Linked DNA regions of Lepisosteus oculatus. The protein of the gene in region 1 interacts with the protein of each later gene in a pairwise test. Links are inferred from orthologs where the notes say so. Each region holds a gene or a part of one and is shown in the gene's direction. Other genes may lie near its edges.

Region 1 (7,125 bases):
GCTGTGATAACATAGTAGAGTAGCTTGTTTCACACTCCCACAACTCTTTGGGCAAAGAAGATTTACATGAACATCCAAGCAGTTTCCACCTGTGTCCTCTGCTTATATTTTGGAGAATTCTGCCAGGTAGACTTTGTTAGTGCTTCTGAAGATTTTGAACATGTGAATTAAATCACCCTGTAGTCTTCTCTGTTCAAGACTAAAAAAACAAACCTAAAAAGTTTCAGTTCCTTTTGGCTGTCAGGTTCGGACATTCCTTTAAGCACTGTATCCGGTAGCTCTTCTCTGGACTGACACCACTGATGCAGTATTTTTCTTTTAAGCATGTACTAATTGTACATAGTATTCTAAAATAGTTCTTTAAGGCTTTCTGTTCTGTCATCTATGTTTTTAGTAGAAAATTTGCAGTCATTCTTTTGTTTCTATAAATAATACAAAATTAAATCTGGACCTTATGCAAACACAGCATACATCCTTAATTTTTAACTGGTATTATATACTGCCACCACGAGAGGGCACATTTTCCCCCAAATCCTATTTTTGCATCTGATTGATTCGATGATACAGGTGAAAACACTGATGTAGGCAAATTAACACGTCACATATTACAGTCTATATATTAGCTTATTATTTCTAAATTTTGACACTGAGCTTTTATAGTACTTCTGTGTTATTTGTAACACATATGAAAATGATATATATGATCTATGTGTGGAAATGGAAATTCCTACAGAGATTTGAGTTTCTTCTTTCTGCTGCAGTTCATGCTTTTCTTGTCACTTAGCCCAAAGAAAATGACATGATCTGAAGCAAAGTCTGTGTGACCAAACTGTACTTCCCCTGAGACTCGCGTGCATGACCTCTCCGTGATAGATGTCCTGGGTCCCCTGGGCAGGAACACCATCTTTTTGAGGTGTGTCTGAGTAAACACAGGAAGCTGGAATCGGCACTTCCTGTTGCAGGAGCAAACGGCTTCGTTAACGGGACAAGATAGCTGATGTTTGGACGGAAGGGGCCAGTGTCAAAGGGAAACTGCCACCACTGACCGCTCACATTTGTAGAAAACAGTTTTTTAAGAAGTGAAACAATAAGAAATGTTCGATACTCCATTCCAGGTCTCACTACGCAGACAGTAATAGAAATAATTATGTTTTTTTCTGGTTTGTATTGCACTCTGTTAGTATTTTAGGTTTTTTCTTTCCTGTGTCAAATCAGACAAAAGCAGCCATCCCTGTTACTAGATTCTGACTCTACAGGGAAAAAGTTGGTGTCTGACAAGCAGCCATCGAACAAGACAACCGCTAGCTTAGGTGATGTGTGAGATCATAATATCTACACACACCATCTCAGTGCAGCCTCAGTGTGGTTGTCACCTGCCTTGAGACCTCTGGAACAACTTCGCAATGAGACAGAACATTGCATTTAATCATTTGGCTAATGGTAAATGTGTGTTACACTTACATTTATTCATTTGGAGGATGGGTTTATCCAAAGTAAATCAAAATCACATTCAAGGTGGATAGGGTGCATGTGACAGTAGAATTAACTATCTTCAGCTGTTAGGAGTCAATACTCAGGCTGGGGCAATATCATCAGTGGAGTTCCACAGAGATCCGTACTCAGACCACAGCTCTCCCTAATTTATATCAATGTCTAGATTCTGGTAGAATTTGTGAACTAGCGAAGTTTGCAGATGATGCCACAGTAAAAGGAACAGCAAACACTGTAGAAGCTTTAGATCTTTAAATTAGAAATGAGATATTTAGAGAGACTTCGAAACACCTGACATGACATTTCTTGCATGCGAGTGTAAAGTGCAAGTTCTGAATGCAGGGATCAAAAACCAGATGGGAAGCACTGAGCCTGAATAGGCCACTCATGAAAAAGACTTTGGTGTTTGTGTTGACACATCATTCACATCTTCTAGACAATGTAGGGCACCGATAAGAAATGCAAACAGTATTAGGATATATAGTTAAAAGATACATCCAGGATATCAGGGAGAACACTGTCTATATTCCCAGTATGGGGAAATGTTGGACAAATATGAGCTCCAGGGAGGGAATTATGGAGGCCTATGGGTCTGAGACAGGCCTCTGGACCCCTGCTCCTGGAGAGCCACTGGCCTGCAGGTTCTACAGACAGCCTTCAATAGCCCAGGGTCAGGGGCGGGGAAACATGTGACCTCCTAATAATCAAACAAGTGACCGGGTTCTGCAGCTCACTCTTCCCTCTTCACCTGCAGTGAGAAGCAGTTAGACTTCACACCAGCAGGGGGCAGAGTTAGACAGCAGGAGACACACAGCAGCCCCAAAGCAGGAGACACACAGCAGCCTCACAGTGGGAGACACAGCAGCCCCCCAGCGGGAAACACACAGCAGCCTCTCAGTGGGAGACATACAGTAGCCCCACAGTGGGAGACACTGTAGCCCCAAAGTGGGAGACACTCAGCAGCCCCACAGCGGGAGACACACAGAAGCCCCACAGGGGGAGACACCGCAGCCCCACAGTGGGAGACACACAGCATCTCCACATCGGGAGACACAGCAGCCCCACATTGGGAGACATACAGCAGCCCCACAGCGAGAGACACCGCAGCCCCACAGTGGGAGACACACAGCAGCTCCACATCAGGAGACACATCAGCCCCACATTGGGAGACATACAGCAGCCCCACAGTGGGAGACACAGCAGCCCCACATTGGGAGACACACAGCAACCCCACGGAAGGAGACACACAGCAACCTCACAGTGGGAAACACACAGCAGTCTCACAGTGGGAAACACACAGCAGTCTCACAGTGGGAGACACACAGCAACCTCACAGTGGGAAACACACAGCAGTCTCACAGTGGGAGACACACAGCAACCTCACAGTGGGAAACACACAGCAGTCTCACAGTGGGAGACACACAGCAACCTCACAGTGGGAAACACACAGCAGTCTCACAGTGGGAGACACACAGCAACCTCACCGTGGGAAACACACAGCAGTCTCACAGTGGGAGACACACAGCAGCCTCACAGCAGTAAACACATTGTAGTCCCACAGGGAGAGAGAGGAGAAACTGCCTCACCAGCTGAAACAGATTTTCTAATTTAGATTAAGAAGGTCAGCTTGAGAAAGCACCAAGTGGAATTTCCCTGAAGTCGAACAGCCCTACTCTTACAAAACTGCACCCTGGGATCTTTAACGACCAAGTTCGTCATGATCTGTGTTTAACATCTCTTCAAAGTCAGCGCCTCCTACAGCACAGTTCCCCTGTCACCATTGAGGGGTTCTAGTGCGGAAACCTGGGGCTAGAGGGAAGAGCACCACTTACTGGTCCAGCAAAACCACTTGCAGCACCTGGATTTCCATGCAGGTCTCCAGCCCCAGTACTGAACGGGCCCAGCCTGGCTGAGCTTAGGAGGACAGATGACATCAGGAGACAAAGTGCTGCTCCTGTCACTTAGCTACAGTGAATCCAGAGGGTACACCAGGTGTACACTTTACGCCAAGTGTGAACCACTGCATGCTAGTAACCTGAATGTGCACTATACATGTCAGAATCAAGGGGCCAATCTTGATGGCACAGGTTCAGCGTTACTGTTCCAAAGTCTACCTTTTACCATAGTACTCCACAACCAACTTTCACAGAGGGACAATATTTAGGTGTGAGGTTCTGCAGTTAGTTTGAATATTCTGTCTTGTTCTCTTGGACTGTGTTTTGAGTTTTGCTTGAACAGGTAGAGGTACTTTAATTTGGAACAGAGAGGACTTAGGAAAGAGAAAAAGGGGGCATTTAAGGTTTCCCTTAAAGAAGAATTCGCAGAGAATAAACCCCAACAAGAACTTTGTGCACCAAAGGAAAACAGAGAACAAATGAGCAGGAAAAGGAGTAGAAAGCTGTCCCTACACAAAGAGCTGTGGGCGTTTGGAACAGGAGCTCTAAACGCACTGTGGATGCCCTCAGGGGTCAGTTGCGCTGTGCTGTGAAAGTCCACGGGCAGAGTCTCTAGAGTCTAGACCATGATCCTCCCCCGACACGTCTCGAGACGGTGTTCCGGTTCAGGTGAGCGCGCGGCCAGTAGTAACCCGCTGCCCTTAGCAACGCCGCCTCATCGAGATTGAGTTCATCTGCCTCGGGTTGTATATATATTTTAAACGCACCCGAAGTTCATTTACCACGCTGTTCTTTGAAGAAATAAACCGGGACGCTTAAAGCCACGAACCGAGACGTTGCCTTTACTTACCTGGGTGAGTATTTTTTGTCCTTCCTCGGCTGTATACTTACCAGCCTGATATCTGATTGACGGACGACGCACGCTGATCGATATGCTGACGTCGGTCTGTATACAGGTTATCGATTGATGTATTTGGTGAAGATGCGTGTGTGACATCGATTTATTGATTGGACTGCCTTTTATAATGAAAATAAAACTTAATGAGACGACTTCATCGTTACTTAATGGTAGTCTTACGCATGGCCAGATTTGTTTTCCTCGTGTTTTCCTTGGCCAGTGTTTCGTCAAGTAGGCCAGCTCCTCATTTAAACAGGACTGTCACAGAACCCGACCCTGTGAATGGGGATTGCCCTGGTAATAAGACGTGTGCCCACATGACACCTCGATACTGTCGCCGGCCAAGGGCTGCACTTCGCGCCTGCGCCACAAGAGGGCGGGCTGCAGCCTGTGTGTCACTCCGAGCGAACACCGAAGTAATGCATGCAGTCCCGAGCTGTTCCTGGGATTGAATTACACTTTAATCGTGATTCTCCATTTTACGTGTTTCATTTAACGATAGCAATTATTTTCCAGGTGTTGTGGTGACCTTCCCTAACGTAATTTTACTTTTGGATACAAAAGTGCATTTGTGTGCACAAAAACAAGGGTCATGTTATATTCAGAACTAAATACAAGCACTGATACCCACTTATGTGTGTGTTAAATAATATTTAATGACAATTTCTTCATTTCGATCATTAAAATGATCTAAAATGAAGTTTAAAACGTATGAACAAGGTTACACACAAATAGTATAACCTGTCTGTGTGTGATTTAAATGTGAATTAAAAACGTTGAAGACTGGACTGCAGTGGAACATTTATTATGTGCAAGTTAAAAATTGCAAACCATATTCAGTTTTAGACTGCTGAACCCTTAAAGGGCTCCTGTTTAATGGACAAATCATTTTTAAATGACAAAAAAGGTTAATCTTTTCCAAGCTGCAGGTAGTTTGAGGAAGTTCCATCAAAGGTGTTTTGAATATCTCTAAAAGGCAAAGGCATCCAGTGATCAGACTGCAGAATAAAAATGGAAGCAAGGGCTTTTCACTTAATCCTGTGTTCAACCTGATGAGCTAGTGGAGAAGAACAAGGTCTCATTTGCAATGATGACCTGGAGTCCAGAGCCCTTCCCACCACTCCACACTACAGCCCCTGTAATGACATCTCTCTCTACTGGTACAGACATGGATAGACCTGTCATTACTGTACCACTAGCATTCACTAAAAAACAAGTTACTTCTCCTATTTAATGTTCAATAAGGCTGCAGTGATGAGCCGATACCCTCATTGTCAGTGTAAAATGTGCACGCCTTCTGTCTGTCACTAGCTCAGCAGAGACTCTGTGGGCGCAGGGGTACACTTGTACGGCGATTACTACTATGTATATACAGTCTACTGTATTACACTTAAAACAAAGAGATCATAATTATTGTCAAATTCCCAGAAATTGACAGTAAAATTAGAAAAAGGATTTGTGGAAATGCCCGTAGGATAAATCCATTGAACCTTATGGTTGGCACCTCCGTTTGAGAAGTTTCACAACCTTTTCTTCTCTGAGAGGGAGTGTTTTGTTCACAGGCGCAGGGCCGCCCCAAAACCAAATGTCCTGCCCACGTGAACTCCCGCATGGGCAGGTTGGCGCCGCGGGCATCTCTCTGAACCCTGCAGCCGCTGTGGACCGTGGGCAGGATCCAGAATCGCAGACCGTTCCCGTTCGGTCTCCCACGTGAAGTTTTTATCCGCTTAATCCCATAAAGGTTGAATTCAAGGGATGCCCACAGCTCACCAGCTGTAATATGCGGCACACGGCCTCCATTGAGGAAGTACAGGTGCTGTCTTCGTCTCTCTGGGCCGGCCCTCGGTGTGGGGGGGTGACCCCTGTGGGGAAGGATGGCTGTACAGTTTGGCAGTCAAGGGCTGGGCACTGACCCTTCGCACAGCCAGCAGACCGCAAGTGCGAGTGACTGCCAGCACACATGGGGCTTAAAACTGCTTGTTTTTCTGTTCAAACAATAGTGCCTTCCTCTCATTTTCATAATACGTTATCATTATTAGAACACATGGTTGCCATTACTGTGAAGTCATAGTGTACATTTGTGTACATTCAGGTATTTCACCTCTGATGTTAACTCAGACCCCTGGAACCTTTGCTTAACTTTAAGATGGGTTTTGTGTTGCCTGTTTAAAAGTATGGCTAAATTCATTTTGCTGTAATTGAATTGGGCATAACACAGGTTTTAGGAAAATCAAATAATAAAATAACAGACATCCTTTAAAAGTGGCTTATTTGGTTGCCGGATTTTCCTACTACCCACATCATTTTTATTTTAAAGAATCTAATATATTTATTTCAAATTTTCCATCAAAAGATCTCGTAGTACCATGCACGATATATGCATAAGCAGGAACTATGGTTGAAACTTTCCCTCAAATTCTTCAGGAAACAGCTGGATGAGATCCTTTGACAAATAAGCATCTTTCATTTGAACAAGCAATACAGGTTAAATGCCCTCCTCTTGTTTACAACTATTCTTATGCTGATGTTCCTATTTTCCAGTCATGGAGTGTACCTGAAAAAAGCAATTGCTTATGTCCATAGATGTGAATTATTCTGACAGGGAATGCTGATTAGACAGGGGATAAGTTCACCATGAGCTGGTTTGCTTTGTGTTTCTTTTGAATGAGCTTTCTAAGGAACTGTGTCAAGTGCTGCACAGAATCAGTGGAGAATGTTCACATGAACAATAGAATAAGCTTCAACAGTGCTGGCCTTGATATTTTGGTTGGTTGTATGCCTTTGTGATAGAGATGAATTGGAAATGAGGGCTATTCCAAATATTCAAAAAGACAAATTGAG
Region 2 (7,409 bases), on another chromosome or scaffold:
GAAGAAACTGCAGCACTGTTTCTATGGCTGACTGGGTATGACCTTTAACCCCAACTATACTTGGTCTTACACGTAGTAACCGCCGGGTTTCACAACAAAGAGGGAAAATGCTTGATGTCAGATTCCCACAGACTTAATTATATTTTAATTAAATGTAGTTGAATTGATAACTTCAGCTCTGCGTCATCTTACCTTCTGCTGCCTTGATGATGACCTTTAACCCACTATGCTCCAGCACAATCATCTTGGCATGGTCATGGGCGTGGCCAAAAGGGACTCTTACATCATCATCGAAGGTCATGACCCTAAGCGTGGCACAGGCCTCCCTGACTAACTCTGGCTGGGAGTTGTACCGTGAGATGGTGCCCGTCAGCAGCGCCAGCACGCCGGCCTTCACCAGGTCCTGTCGGTTCTGCTCGTGCTTCAAGCAGCAGTGGCGCACGACTCGGACGGCCAGGCAGGTCACGCCAGGGTCGTCCTGGTGCTCGTTATAGACGCCCATCAGAAAGTCTCGCCCATCTGTGTCCAGCAGGTCTGGCTGTCCATCTGTCAGGGCTGCCAGGGCCCCTAGGGCTGCCAGCAGAGGTCTCCTCTCTCCGCCTGCCTTCTTGCAGTAGGAGAGGATTATGGGATAGGCATCCTTCTGGGCAGCCAAGTAGCGGTGAGAAAAGTCCATCTTGCACTGCTCTGTGAAGCGCTGCAGACCCTCACACAAGCTGTCTGTAGAGGAGGACTTCAGGGAGGTCTGCAGAGACTCTAAAGCCTAGGAACACAGAAGTGTGGAAAACAATTTTACATTGTCTCTTTATATTGACATGTTATTCCTTTTAAACACATCTTACCTTTTTTATTTTGCATCATTACAATTTTTACTTTAATTCCTTGTTATTACCCTTTATTTGTGCATTTCCTGTTATCATTGTCATTATCTTTTATGTGACCTCTCATAATTTGCATTAGGTTATTTTATGCTCCCTCTGCAAAGCACTTTGAGGAATGAAAGGAGCTATATTATTTTTATCTTATTATTATTGTACCCCTTAGCCAATAACCTTGACCTCATCTGTGTCCCAAAACACATGACAAAAAAGGAAACCGGATCAGCTAGAAAGAAATCGCTCAGCGGCACAAGGCAGACTGCACCGGAAACCCCTGGGTCACTGCCTCCATCCCAAGGGCTGCCGAGAGCTTCTGTGAAATGTTGCTTAAACATTTACTTATAAATTCAGATATACTTGTGCCTGATTTATTTATGAAAGTCTGCATTTTCAAAGGGTGTTTTATTTGCTGTGGGTTCGGAAGTCAACGTAACATTTTTGGATACGAGTATATATTACAAAACACGACTATCTTGCTGGACATTATGGATAAGATCACGGCGCTGGCTCTGCACCACAATTTTACAGTTGTACCATGCTTTCAGCACTTTTTTGTTTCTACTTTCACATGCCATCTTACAGCTTGTACTGTGCATTGCTAGACCCAGTAATGCTGTAACACAGTTTTGGACACAATTTCACCACGTTACATCACACTTCACTCTGCTTTTACCATAGTACACATTGGCCACCCCTTGTAAAGAGACTTACACAGCCTCACTCAATGGTCTGGCTTTATTGTCATCACCTGCAGAACACTGTGTGTCTGCTCCTCTTCGGTGTCCTCTGAAGCAGTCGTCCGGACAGCCTTCACAATATTACTGAGGTCCACACCTGGAAATGAACACATGCAAGAGCCTCATTTCCTATCAGCTCTTCCCTTTCACTCTTGCATAGTGTCAACAGCCAAAATATTGTTTTTTTTTCTTTCTCAGTGTTAAAATAACCTTTACTTGTCCCTTCATAGATTACCCTTAAATCGCCAGTTTCTACACGCGAGCTCCTGACAGAATTGCACGTGATTTTGTCAGCCCAGCCCCAGACAGTGGCACACCTCATGTCTGATGTTGTGGTTGAATCAGTCAGAAACAAGAAGTCATTTAAGGAGAGCGAGACCATTTTTTTTTTTTGCTTTAACTGCTGCATCTTGGAGAGCATGTGCTAACTGTTCCAAAATGTTCATACTTAATGAACAGCAGTGACTTGTTAATTTTTCTAACAGGCTCATTTTCTCTGTGCCTTTCCATTTACACAGTGCCTTTGTTAATGCAAACTCGTAAAAGCAAAGTCTGCTGGTGCTTGCATTTCTCATTCTGTGCACATTAATCAATAACAAGAGTAAAGAAAGTGCATGTTTTCAACAAAAGGATGTTTAGTGATGTTTTTGGTACTGTTTAAAGACAGTTGTAAACTGTCAGACAGGGAATTCAATTATAATTTGTCATCTATTATCAGTTTTAGTCCTGACTGAGACAATTCGGAACCAGATTTAAAACAGTCCACAGAATTCCAGCAGGAGTGAATTACAGTTTCACCATTTTAATAAATTGACTTGTTAAAATGGAGTAACTTAGAAACAATCCAAAATGAAAACGTACATAAAGACACTGCGGCTCTCAAGGACAACAGCCGGCCATTTCCCCAACATAATTATACCAATCAATTTACTCATTTGTACAAAAGGCATGTTTTTCTGAATCTTTATAAACTGGCCATTTAAGGGTGACCAATCAGACTGACTGGATGGTTTGGGGTGTCTTCAGAACCAGAGTTGGGCTCCCCTGATACAACAGTTCCTGGGGTTCAGCCATGGGATCCCCACACCTGCTAGCTTTTATCCCAGCTAAACTGTTTGCTTCAGTGTATCCTTTATTGAACCCAGATTTTTCCCCAACTCAAAGTTTGGAGATGTGAAGTTAGCTTAGGAAGTCATGTAAATGAAAGGGCTGAAGTTGTTCAAGTAGGGGAGCTGCGTCAGCATGCGTAGGTTGCAAGGAACAAGTAAAGGTTTATTCCATCCAGAAAAGAAAGGAAACACAACGTTTTGGCTGTGGAGCCTTCTTCGGCTCTACAGCCGAAACGTTAAGTTAAAGGGCAAGGTCCTACAAGCTTAGGAGGACTCTGGAAACAGTCAGACTTCAAATTTAATTGATTATCAGGTGTCAGTTAAGGGTCCGATTATTTCACGGAGAGCTCAAAACCCGGCAGGATGGGGAGCCATTGCGTTAAAGGGCCATCAGCGGGGGTAACTTATCTCCTCGTACCCTGAGACTCGAACTGTTGCACCGCCTCGATCAGCGCCTCGGCGGCGTCCATCTCGAACTCCTCCATGTTCTCCTTCACCACCGCGTCGAAAGTCTCCTGCGCGATCCGACGACTCGCCATCTTCGCTCCCGACAAAACCGGCCGGTTCCCGGAAACCTGAGAGCTGAACACAGCACGCAGAGACAGCCAGCTGGGGAGATGCAGCAAGATTACGGTGCCGTGTTGTTTTACGAGGCCGTTCACAAAGCCCTGGTATTGCTGTGAATGCCTAAGACCTCGTACTGTGCTGTACTGGCAAGAAGCATTAAATGTATATGTTATATAAAAATATGTATGTGGCGTGCCCCTATAAACAAGACGAGTGCATTTCGGGTTTTTTTTCCTTTACAGCGCATCCTTTTCCATTATGCTGTTGCGGCTGCATTGTTACACAGTGCACAGTTAAGGCTAACGCAAAAGCTGTCGTCCTTTTACAAACGCCTCGATTCTTTCTTCGAGCCTTAAGGCAACACCGTGCAAATCACTACGACTTAAATGCCGTAAAGATGAGAAGGATTACTTATGCACTCTTATTCTATTTTTAACACCAAAAAAAAACCAAAGCGCAATTAAATAAATACCTGCGGTTCAAATCACTATGAAATATATATAAACATACCTCTATGTAGGTCCAGATATTTCTCTTTTTAAAGCAATCGCTTTGCATTTAAACACAGTACCCAGACACCATTTACTGCCGCCCAGATCAACTACAACTGTCACTGGGATGAATAAACCTAGAAACCGCTAACGCTACGGAAGTATCGTAGGCAGGAATCACGATAAAGGACCTACGTCCAAATGTGGGGCTATGTATTTTAAGAATAGGTCGATGAACAGGACGCTGTGTTGTCGTTCCGTGTTTTGCTTGTGTCGGAATTATTGAGTTCCGCAGCACTTTAGTTCCTAGTCCACCCTTTTCCTATCAACAAAACAACATTCTCAGTGGCAATCGTAAAATAATATATAAATATAGATAATGAATACATTCATCACAGTAAGGCAGGTTGATTTTGCTTCGTACGTTTTTCAACTTAAAAAGCTATATAATGTTGAAATCTGTTTTGCTAAATTGATCATTTATCAGAAATTTTATTATAGGTTTTTATAAACTTGATATTTTCTTAAATTATCCATCTGTTAAAATAATACAAAAAATTGCAAATCGGGATTGGAAAACAGAAATAAAAGGTGACGGTAGTGTTAAACTACATATCCCGGGGGACCATTCGGTCCAAGTCCCGTTGTATTCTCGTTCTGATCTCAAATCCCGCGGTGTTGGAACAGCGGTAGCTGTGGTGGTTGTTGTTGTTGTCGGTAAAATGGCGTCTGGCGGTGAGGCCCCGGAGTCATGGTACCTCGCCCTGCTCGGCTTTGCGGAGCACTTCCGTACCTCAAGTCCTCCTAAGATACGCCTCTGTGTCCACTGTCTTCAGGCTGTCTTTCAGTTCAAGCCGCCACAAAGGGTCGAAGCCCGCACTCACCTTCAGCTAGGCTCGGTGCTGTATCATCACACCAAGAACAGCGATCTCGCCAGAAACCACCTGGAGCAAGCGGTGAGGGGTAGCGCAGGAAAGACCGGGGATTCGTGAGGGAGGCGGGGAAATGAAGGCCACGTCTGTAAAGTGTACTATGAGAGAGGAAGAGTTCTGTAACAAGACCCCTAAATCAAATAAAATCTTCAGTGTAGTTCTTGAATTAGAATGCGACACATTTGCGTCTATTAAAAAATGAGCGACTTTTCTTTACAACGAAAGTGTTGCCATATTATTTCAGCTGAATGTTACTCGATTATGAAGTTGAGCATTTCAAAATTAGTTACCCAATAAGGCGTCTTTCACCGCCACAAATAAGTAGTGGCGGTGCTTGTTGCAGGGGTCTTTTTCGGATGGAAATGTTTAAGATCCACAAGAGCTGCATTTTGATGGATGATTTAAACTTTTTTTTAATTCATTTTCAAAATAAACCTGTGACTATGGTTCACGATCTAACAGTTATTATGTTACTAATATTTTTTTTTCTCTGCAGTGGATGGTGTCTCAACAAGTATCCTTTTTCACATGGGCACTGCTCAGGAATAAGTTACGTTGGTTGCTTGTTACTGTCATACCGGTTCAAGGGGTCAAGGTACCATATTGTTACTTTTCTTTACTACGCTATGTTACGTGAACTTCGGCAAAAAATGAAACTGAAGTCTACACTTTGCTTATTCACCCTAAATATGTAATATCGCATTTACCTGTTTCTGGTCGAGTATTGCACAGTATTTGCTGATAGCTGTCAGATCGCTACAAGGCAGACCTGATGCAAGTTTCCAAAATCCCCAAAGTCAGTGACTGAGTCAACCCAGCAGGTTACTTCACAGCGAGCACTGAATTGGGAGCCAGGGATCACAAGTGGGAAAGCATGTGGAAGTTCTTGTAATACCAAGAACAGCAGGTGCTTCTTTACGCAGAGGGTTGTAGGAGTCTGGAACAAGGTTACCCAGTCATGTCGTTGGAAGTCAATACCCTGGCTTCTCTCATTAAACATTTGGTTGGGATCGAAGGATCAGTGAGCAGCTCATGACCCAACTCGCTGGATGGGTCGAATGGCCTCCTCTCTTTTGTAACCGGGCTTATGCTGGAAAACGTTTTACTTTGATTTGGCCGAAAGACAACTTGCTTTCGCTTCAGTATTGTCAGGACAGTAATGGAAGAGTAATTTCCTTCACCAAGCAACCCCTAGGTCCCTCAGTTTGAAGATGTCAAGTTTGAAGCTGCAAGTCTGCTGTCTGAACTTTATTGCCAGCAGGTAAGCCTCTTAAATTCTTGCTTTGTGTTTTGTTGTGAGAGAACCTTGGGGATTGTCTTGGCTCCCGGTTGTCTCTATAAACATCCCGTCAAGTAAAAATGATGCATCTGTTTATAAGTTTGATCAAACTGACTGGATCGCCCCATCTTATTTGGTCATCCGTTTTTCCTGTTCTGTGCCTGTCCCATCCTTAAGAGATGGGTGTTTTGCTGCTCTCTGTCATAATCCATCCATTTTCTAACTGCTTCATCCGATTCTCGCTGGGGAGTCGAAGCCCTTCCTTGCAAGCAACTGGTGCAAGGCAGGGTACACCCTGGACAGGACGCCGGTCCACTGCAGGGCACACACAGACACAAACACTCCCTCCGGGGCCAGTTTTCCCAGAAACCAAATAACCTACCAGCACGTCTTTGGACTGTGGGAGGAGGCCCGCACAGACACGGGGAGGGCATACCCTCTTCATGCACATAGCACCCCAGGTCTCGAATTGAAACCTGGGGCATCAGCGCTGCCTCAGTGAGGCACCTGCCGCCTCAGTCATCTTAAAATCAACATCTTATCCAGACTGGTACCTTTTGTGACATAGGCAGCCCTTTCAAAGTGCATCTGCACTTTCTTCAAAGCCTTTTATCTCCTCGGTGAAATGTGCGAGCAACGTGTTTGTCTTTCTTCCCTGTCCTGCCCTCTCTCCACGTGTAGAACTCGGTCGACTCGGCGAAGCCCCTGCTCCGCAAGGCCATTCAGATCTCTCAGCAGACGCCGTACTGGCACTGCCGACTGCTGTTCCAGCTGGCGGTAAGAGCACAGATTTGAAGCCTTTTTTCTGTCCTTCCATATTACTTTTACTGTCGAACTTGTGATGGTCCGAACTTTATTTTTAAAGGGCACACATTATTGTCGTCATCTTAAAGCCTTTCAGTTCTGTTGAGCGTATTTCTTCTAGCCTATGTGTCAAAATACAGCCTTTCCCTTATACATAGATGCTTGTTGTTAATTTGAGAATGCCAAATTGACTAAGCTTTTGACATTGTGGGAATGTTGTGTGAAATAAGCGAGTGCTTATTGCTGAAGCAGAGGTTGGTTTCTTTTGTACAGCAATTGCACACCTTGGAGAAGGACCTGGTGTCGGCCTGTGATCTCCTGGGGGTGGGAGCTGAATATGCCAGGGTTGTAGGCTCAGAATACACCAGGTACTGGAAATTCTCCTATATGGACAGCTGAGTGTGCTTAAGAATGCTGCGTGACGTTAGCAGGTTAACTATTTTAAGTGTATTACTTTTATTTGTAGCAGTGGGTTTTTTTAAGTCATCACGTGTTGTGGTGACATTTCATAAATACTTATGAGGAGGTTGCAATTTAGAAGTATTAAAATTAATTTAATGTGATAGGGGATCGCCTTAAAGATGCATGACATAGTGTCTTTTTGATGACTGC

The links.
Region 2: the proteins of nipbla (region 1) and mau2 interact in binary tests that used the Homo sapiens proteins (3 or more experiments, as listed by UniProt). The link is inferred for Lepisosteus oculatus from reciprocal best matches to the Homo sapiens genes NIPBL and MAU2.

Annotation. Positions count from the first base shown.
Region 1 is NC_090698.1:15,499,644-15,506,768, forward strand, and holds the start of nipbla (nipped-B-like protein A), read left to right. Parts: upstream 1-4,122; 5' UTR 4,123-4,240; intron 4,241-7,125. UniProt on the Homo sapiens protein: Plays an important role in the loading of the cohesin complex on to DNA. Forms a heterodimeric complex (also known as cohesin loading complex) with MAU2/SCC4 which mediates the loading of the cohesin complex onto chromatin.
Region 2 is NC_090724.1:7,119,040-7,126,448, forward strand, and holds the start of mau2 (MAU2 chromatid cohesion factor homolog), read left to right. Parts: upstream 1-4,391; 5' UTR 4,392-4,504; coding exon 4,505-4,738; intron 4,739-5,210; coding exon 5,211-5,228; intron 5,229-5,909; coding exon 5,910-5,975; intron 5,976-6,674; coding exon 6,675-6,770; intron 6,771-7,070; coding exon 7,071-7,165; intron 7,166-7,409. Other genes in the region: armc6 (armadillo repeat-containing protein 6), read right to left, coding at 193-763, 1,627-1,712, 3,143-3,263. UniProt on the Homo sapiens protein: Plays an important role in the loading of the cohesin complex on to DNA. Forms a heterodimeric complex (also known as cohesin loading complex) with NIPBL/SCC2 which mediates the loading of the cohesin complex onto chromatin.